2 linked regions of the Cricetulus griseus genome follow. The protein of the gene in region 1 purifies or fractionates together with the protein of each later gene. This does not show direct contact. Links are inferred from orthologs where the notes say so. Each region holds a gene or a part of one and is shown in the gene's direction. Other genes may lie near its edges. The genes, in order: Lsm14a and Eif4enif1.

The links.
Region 2: the proteins of Lsm14a (region 1) and Eif4enif1 purify together in Homo sapiens (affinity purification with mass spectrometry; 3 studies listed by BioGRID and IntAct, with this or other methods). This does not show direct contact. The link is inferred for Cricetulus griseus from reciprocal best matches to the Homo sapiens genes LSM14A and EIF4ENIF1.

Annotation. Positions count from the first base shown.
Region 1 is NC_048602.1:4,108,954-4,113,194, forward strand, and holds the start of Lsm14a (protein LSM14 homolog A), read left to right. Parts: upstream 1-1,225; 5' UTR 1,226-1,398; coding exon 1,399-1,519; intron 1,520-4,241. UniProt on the Homo sapiens protein: Essential for formation of P-bodies, cytoplasmic structures that provide storage sites for translationally inactive mRNAs and protect them from degradation. Acts as a repressor of mRNA translation. May play a role in mitotic spindle assembly.
Region 2 is NW_023276807.1:101,695,234-101,699,039, reverse strand, and holds part of Eif4enif1 (eukaryotic translation initiation factor 4E transporter), read left to right. Parts: intron 1-1,018; coding exon 1,019-1,194; intron 1,195-3,806. UniProt on the Homo sapiens protein: EIF4E-binding protein that regulates translation and stability of mRNAs in processing bodies (P-bodies). Plays a key role in P-bodies to coordinate the storage of translationally inactive mRNAs in the cytoplasm and prevent their degradation.

The DNA of each region.
Region 1 (4,241 bases):
TGCTCTAGCAAGGAGTCTGCTTTTCGTTTTGTGTAACACGGAATCTGTGGAGAGGACTGAGTAGGGGAGAGGTGTTACCTGACTTGAACAAGAGGCCGCCATCTCTTGCTACCTGAACGTGATGCCCGGGTGTGGCTACTGTGGAAGAAAACCTGGCGGGAGTTTAGAGAAGCAGGGAAGTCTTAGGAGGCTGTTGGCAGCCATCGTGGCCGCAGTCTCTGGGGCTTCTTGTGGAGCCACAGGGATGGGGACCGTCTAGACCGAGAGACCAACATTTACAGTGTGTGCGTGTGTGTTACAGCTACAACAGACGGGGGTGAAAGAGGTCAACCTAGGTTAGTGTGTGTGTGTATGTGTATGTGTGTGTGGTGAGTGTATGTGTATGTATGTGTGTGGTATGTATATGTGTGTATGTGTGTGTGTATATGTGTATGTGTGTGTGGTGTGTGTGTGTGGTGTGTGTGTGTTGGTGTATGTATGTTGTGTGTGTGGTGTGTATGTGTGTATATATGTGTGTGTGTATATGTGTGTATGTGTGTGTGCTGGGATGTATGTGTGTGGTGTGTGTGTGTGTGTATGTGTGTATATATGTGTGTATGTGTGTGTGCTGGGGCGTGTGTGTGTGTCTGTGTCTGTGTGTGTGGTGTATGTGGTGTGTGTGTGTATATGTGTATATGTGTGTGTATGTATGTGGTGTGTTGGTGTGTGTGAGAGAGACACGGGGTGGACAGCGGCCTGACCGCGGTGACCGGCAGGCGGGCGGCCCTGAGGCAGCGGGCGAGCGGGCGAGCGGGCGCCGACAAAGACCCGGGGCTCGTGACCCGGTGCGTGCAGCCCGCCTGGAAATGGCGGAGGCCGCGGCCGGCGTCCCCAGGCGGGATGAGAGGGCGCTCGCCCTCCCGCTCGCTCGCCCTCCCTCCGCGTCCGGTGCCGCAAAAACAAAACAAGCAGCCCAACCCCAACCCCTCCGGTGTCTCGGAGCAGCCCGACCGCTCGGAGCGGAGGAGCCGAGAAGCGGAGACGCCGGCGCGGCCCCGGGGACCCGCGAGCGGCCGCGGCGGGGCTCGCCCAGTCTCGCGCGAGGGCGCGTGTGCGCGTGCGCGCGCCGGGCCTCGCCCTCCCAGCATGCCCCGCGCCGCCGCCGCCGCCGCCGCCGCCGCCATCGCCGCCGCCGCGCTGCCGCCGCGCCGCGGGCTGAGGGCGGGAGGCTGGGGGAGGGGAGCGGAGCGGGCGCGGCCGCCATGTTGGCTGTGAGGAGGCTGCTGTGAGGCGCGGACGGAGCGAGCGGGAGCGGACGGAGCGGACGGGCGAGCGGGCGGGCGGGCGCAGCGCGGGATCTGCCTGAGCGGAGCGGGCGAGCCGGGGCGGGCGAGCCGGGGCGGGCGAGCGGCGGGCGCCATGAGCGGGGGCACTCCTTACATCGGCAGCAAGATCAGCCTCATCTCCAAGGCGGAGATCCGCTACGAGGGCATCCTCTACACCATCGACACCGAGAACTCCACGGTGGCCCTCGCCAAAGGTGCGCGCGGGCCGGGCGAGCCGGGGCGGGCGGCGGGCGGGCGGGCGGGCGGCCGGGCGGGGCGGTCCTCCGGGGAGGCCGCTCCCACACAGCGAGCCACACAGCGAGCGGCGGGCGGGCGACGAGGCCCGGGGCGCGGCCTCCCCTCTCCCGGCTCCCCGGAGCGGCTCGCCCTCCATCCGGGGCACCAGCGCGCGCCGCCCGGGGCGAGCCGGGGGCGAGCCGGGCCCAGGAAGCGGCCGGGAGACCCCCCCCCTCCCCCGGCTTCGCGTCTTCCAAGACCGAAATCCGGCCGTTCCCGTCTTCCGAGCCGCCCAACAAAGCCGGGCGAGCCCGAGAAGCCGTCCGCTCGCCCCCGAGTGCAAGTCCCGGGGAACGCGCTCGAAACTTCGGGGGTGCGTGTGTGAGTGTGAGTGAGTGTGAGATCGCGGAGGGCCGGGGCCCGCGCGGACGGGCGAGCCGCTCGCATGGGCTGCTGACTCCTGCCCCCGCGATGCGATGCTTACCTGTTACACCCGGATCCTGTGCAGACGTCTCGTGAGGGGCGCGCGTTTCAGTGCTCGCCCGCCTGCTCGCCCGTCCCCCACGGGCCTCTCTCTCTCTCTTTCTCTCTCTCTCTGTCTCTGTGTGTGTCTCTCTCTGTCTCTGTCTCTCTCCCCTCTCTGTCTCTCTCTGTGTCTCTCTCTGTCTCTCTGTCTCCCCTCTGTGTCTCTCTCTCTGTCAGTCTCTCTGTGTCTCTCTCCCCCTCTCTCTCTGTCTCTCTCTCCCCTCTCTCTGTCTCTCTGTCTCTCTGTGTGTCTCTCTGCCTCTCTCCCCTCTCTCTGTCTCTCTGTGTCTCTCTCCCCTCTCTGTCTCTGTCTCTCTCTGTGTCTCTGTCTGTTTCTGTCTCTCTCTCCCCCTTCTCTCTCTGTGTGTGTCTCTCACTGTCTCTCTGTCTCTCTCTCCCCCTCTGTCTCTCTCTCTGTGTCTCTCTCCCCCCTCACTCTGTCTCCCCCTGTCTCTCTCTCCCCCTCTGTCTCTGTCTCTCTCCCCCCTCTCTCTCTGTCTCTGTGTGAATCTGTCTCTCTGTCTCTCTCTGTGTGTGACTCTCTGTCTCTCTCCCCTCTCTCTGTCTCTCTGTCTCTGTCTGTCTCCCTCTCTCCCCTCTCTCTGTCTCTCTCTGTCTCCCTCTCTCCCCCCCTCTCTCTCTGTGTCTCTCTGTCTCTCTCTCTGTGTGTCCGTCTCTCTCTGTGTCTCTCTGTCTCTCTCTGTCTCTGTCTCTCTGTGTCTCTGTCTCTCTCTCCCCCCCTCTGTCTCTCTCTGTCTCTCTCTCTCTCACCCCCGTGGACAGGGAAGCTCAGGGCTGGAGTGTTAACGGGTTGGAGGGACTTGTGGTGTTAGAGGAGGGGACGGGCCTCCCCTGCCCCGCACAGCCCGCAGCGCCCGCCGCACAGTCTGCGTGCGGGTTTTGTTTCCGTCCACACGTGCTGGCCTCTGCCAGGAAGGCAGAAAGAAAATAAACTTGAGCTTCTGGTCTCAGAGGAAGTGGCCCTACAGCGGTTTGCAGGGAGCACTCTGGGAGGAGGGTTTAGTGTTTGCCCCGCCACACCTGTGGGACTGTGCAGATCTGCACGGCCAGGAGGAGAGGAGTGAGAGCGGGTCTGATGGTCAGCTGAGAGGGAGGTCGCTCCACAGTACCCAACAAGCTTTGGTGACCTTTGTTTTTTTAAGCTGTTTTGTAGGCCCTTTTAATAGTATTTGTTTGGGGACGAGTTGACCTAGGTGAGATACTTTTTTTTTATGTTGTTGAACACCTGATAGGGATTAGGAGTTCACCCGATTGACAGATGTCTCAAAAGTGGGGAGATCTGGATTCCATCCCCAGTACCACGAAAACCAATGCTTTAAAAAGGTACGCTATGAAAGAGTAGGGTGCGATTTTCCACATTTTGACTTGTGGTGAGTGATGCTTGTGTAACTTTTGGCAATTTGCTTTTAAAGCATCCTTGAATCACTTAAGTTAAAAAGTCTGCTTTTTAAGGAGCAGTATGAAGCCTGCTGCTGTGACGCTTGCTTATTATAGTCCCAGCTATTCCCAAGGCTGCTTGAACTGAGGAACTTCGGGCCTGCTTAAGCAATACAGGCAGGTCATCTTTGTTTTGTTTTGTTTTGTTTCGTTTTTGGTTTTTTTTCGAGACAGGGTTTCTCTGTGTGGCTTTGGAGCCTGATTTGTCCTGGCACTCGCTCTGGAGATCAGGCTGGCCTCAAACTCACAGAGATCCGCCTGCCTCTGCCTCCCAAGTGCTGGGATGAAAGGTGTGCGCCATCAACGCCGGGCCAGGCAGGTCATCTTAAAAGGCAGAAAATACAGGTGTCTCAGTTGATAGAATGCTTGCTTATTGTCCATAAAACCCTGGGTTCAGTCCCAGTGGGAAAAACTGGGTGTGGGTGGTACAGGCGTAATTGCAGAGGGAGGGGGCGGCAGGAGGTCAGGCATCCCAGATCTCGCTGAGAAAAGACAAAAACTCAAAAGCCAAGGAAGGAGTGCCCCAAACTTCCTCTTTGCCTGGTGGAGTACTGTAACACATTGCCTGTTAAAGAGCCTGCTTTTTACACACTCACTGTACTTCAGGATGTACAGTTCTCTTCAGAAATTTAAATTAAAGACTTGACCAATGGTGTGACCTGGGCGTGGTGGCACAGGCCTTTGTCCCAGCATTCAAGAGGTAGTGGCAGGTGGATT
Region 2 (3,806 bases), on another chromosome or scaffold:
GTTGGGGGTTTTTCAACATTTTTATTTGTATGTATGTATGTGCTGGTACCCTAGCAGGCCCAAAGTGCCATATTGACAGACAGTTATGATGCCTGATATGAAAGGGTGCTAGAATCTGAACTTAAGGTCCTCTGAGTGAGCAGTATGTGCAATTAGCCACTGAGCCATCTCTCCAAACCATGTTTGGGTGTGGCGGGGGAGCAGGGGCATTACACACTTGCAAATAAGTGGGGTTTGTTTTGTTTTTTCTGTTTAGCTCATATTTTGTGTAAAATTAAAATGTTAGCAACTGGTGTTTTGCTTAGCCTGTCTTCCCATCCTAAAAGAAGTTGACATTACAGATCTACCTGGCCTTGTAAAATAAGACTGAGCTGATTAGACCAGGTTATTTGTCTGTAGAGATCTGTTTCACTAGAGAATTGCTCTAATAACAAAATTATATGAAGGGCAGCAATTAATGTGTACTGAGTAGATCAGTGTACTTTTTAGAATCTTTTTTTAAAGGTAGGGTAGGCTTCCAGGAACGTTTGACAGTCAAGGTTTACATTGGTTGTAGGCTACAGCCAGCCTTTTATAGGCAATTAATTTGATTTCAGAGGCCCAAGTTTATTTCCTTGTATCCACTACAAAAAGCTGCTCAAAAATTCATATATGTGTAACTCTTCAAGAAGAGCCAGTGCCCTCTTCTGGCCTTCCATGATACCTGCACACATGTGCCATATACTAACACACAATTAATTAATTAAGTAGTTGTTTGTTTTTTAAAGACATATTCAGGACTGGGGCCACAGTCTTTTTCCTGCTCTATTGAAGTTCAGGGTACTTAGCAATGACTTCTCTTTTCTAGTTCCCAGAGAAGTGATAGTAAATGCTTTATTATAGGAAGTGTAGTACCAGCACAAGAAGTCTATTGACAGTTGTGTGTGGTTCTTCTGCATGTGTATTGATAGCTAAAGGCACAGAATGAGACTGGAGTGTGTACTTCAGCAGGTGGTTTCTGTCCTGGTTTTGTTTTCAGGCATAGTGGAGTGTAATGGAGGTGTGGCCGAAGAAGATGAAGTGGAAGTTATCCTGGCCCAGGAGCCCTCTGCTGATCAGGAAGTCCCAAGGGATGTTGTCCTACCTGAGCAGTCCCCAGGAGAATTTGACTTTAATGAGTTCTTTAACCTTGACAAGGTGCCGTGCTTGGCTTCGGTGAGTATAACAGCACATTTTCAAATATAGATGATGGCTTGATGGATAAAACCCTTGCTGTACAAGTTTGAGGACTGAATGAAATTTAGATTTTTAGGATCCAGGTAAATGTTGGGGCAATGTGTTGGCCCTCCTGTAATCATAGCACACAGAAAGTGGAGATAGGATTGTTGGAGCAAGAGTGCTAAAAGAACTAACTAGCTGTGTTTGTAAGCTGTGAGTTCAGGTGACAGACCCTGGCTCAATTTATAAAGTAGAGAGTAACTAAGGAAAATGGCAGACATCAACCTCAGACCTCCACTTGCATATGTGCATATGCACCCAAACACATGTGCACCTACACACAGGAGCATACATACATACATACATACATACATACATACATACATACATACATGTGCATATGCACCCAAACACAAGTGCACCTACACACAGGAGCATGCATACATACATGCATGCATGCATGCATGCATGCATGAACGCGCGCGCGCACCACACACACTTGTGCAAAATAAAAATAAACATGCATGGAATCTGGGTACACACCTGTAATCTTAGCACTTGGGATACTGAGACAGAGGAGTTTGAGTCTGAGGTTAGCTAGAGCTTTGTAGTCATTTCAAGGCTAACCTGACTGCATAGTAAAACCTGCCTCGACTTTTTTTTTTTCTTAGTTAAAAAAGTACATAAGAGGGCTGGAGAGATGGCTCAGAGGTTAAGAGCGCTGACTGCTCTTCCAGAGGTCCTGAGTTCAATTCCCAGCAACCACATGGTGGCTCACAACCATCTATCATGAGATCTGGTGCCCTCTTCTGGTGCTCAGGCAAATATGCAAGCAGAACACTGTATATGTAATAAATATAAGTGAAAGAAAGGAAGAAAGAAAGAAAGAAAGAAAGAAAGAAAGAAAGAAAGAAAGAAAGAGAAAGAAAGGGACAGCTAATTATGGTTAGGTTAGATCTAGTATTTTCTCCTTTTTTTTTCCATAGAGGGGTATCTTTTGTTTTGTTTTGAGACAGGGTCTCACTCACTATGTAGCCTTAGCTGAGAGATTGTTATACATTTGCTTTACAAATGCCAAGATTAAAGGTATGTACTACATGTATGTATGTATGTATGTATACGTGTGTGTTATGTATGTATGTATATATATGAGTCAACCTCTTCTAAGGACAATGGAAATATTATGGCTCCCAGCTCCTTCACCAGCTGATAGTTGAGAGGATACAGCAAAGGATGTCCTGATTCAGAAATCAGCTGTGTCCATTTCTTGTGCACATGAGGTTCTCCTGTCAGAGTCCCTACTTCATCATCTGTTAAAAATGACCAAACTGTTAGGGTTCCTGTTGGACTCAAGCACCTTGTTTTTTGAGATGAATATCTCCACAAATGTGTCTAAGAGCAAGTTTGTTTCTACTCTTGAATATAACATTTTGCAGTAGACAAAGTTGGGGGCTGGAGAGATGACTCTGATCAAGAGCACTGTCTACTTTTGTAGAGGATCTGGGTGTGATTGCCAGTATTCACATGGCAGCCACAACTGACTCTTAACTCCAGTTCCAGGATATCTGATACAGTCCTCTGGCCTCTGATAGCACTGCATATATATGGTGCAATGACATCCAAGTAAAACATCCATAGTGTATTAAATAATTTAAAAAAAAAAAAAAAGCCAGGTGGTGGTGGTGGTGGTGCACATCTTTAATCCCAGCACTCATGAAGCAGAGGCAGGCATATCTTTGTGAGTTTGAGGACAGCCTGGTTTACAGAGCGAGTTCCAGGACAGCCGCAGAGAGACATGCAGAAGACTTGTCTTCAAAAAAAAAAAAAAAATACAACATTGGTAACTGAGCAAAACATAGAAATTACTTTTTCCACTGGGTGATGGTGGCACAGACCTTTAATTCTAGCATTAAGGAAGCAGAAGCAGGTGGACTCTGATTTCTAGGCTAGACTGTTTTACAGTGAGTTCAGGATAGCCAGGGCTACACAGAAAAGCCCTGTCTTGAAAAAAGAAAAAACTTTTCTCCACAATTACTTTAATTTCTTTAGAAAGTGACCAGATACTTTGTCCTTTGTGTTTTGACTTTTCCTATTTAGTAAGATTATGTTAGATAGATTGAAAAGCAGATAGATTGAAAAGCTAAGCCATCATTTTTTATTTGTAAACTAAAACTTTTTTGTTTTTGTTTTTCAAGGCAAGGTTTCTCTGTGTAGCTTTGGAGCCTTTAGCCTGGCACTCGCTCTGGAGACCAAGCTGCCCTCGAACTCACAGAGATCCGCCTGCCTCTGCCTCCCGAGAGCTGGGACTAAAGGTGTGTGCTACCAATATCCAGCTAAACTAAAACTTTTTTAATAGATTAAGAATTCTACCTTTAAAATGTTTTTCATATGGGTGAGTGCTACAGTGCATATGAGGAGATCAGAGGCCAGCTTTGTAGATTTCTTCTACTTTACGTGGCTTCAAGTCATCAGGCTTGCACCAAAGTTGATGCTTTTATCTGTTGAGCCATCACTGCCCCTAAAGTTTCTCCTTTTTTTTTTTTTTTTGGTTTTTTTGAGATAGGGTTTCTCTTTGTAACAGTCCTGGCACTCGCTTTGTAGGCCAGGCT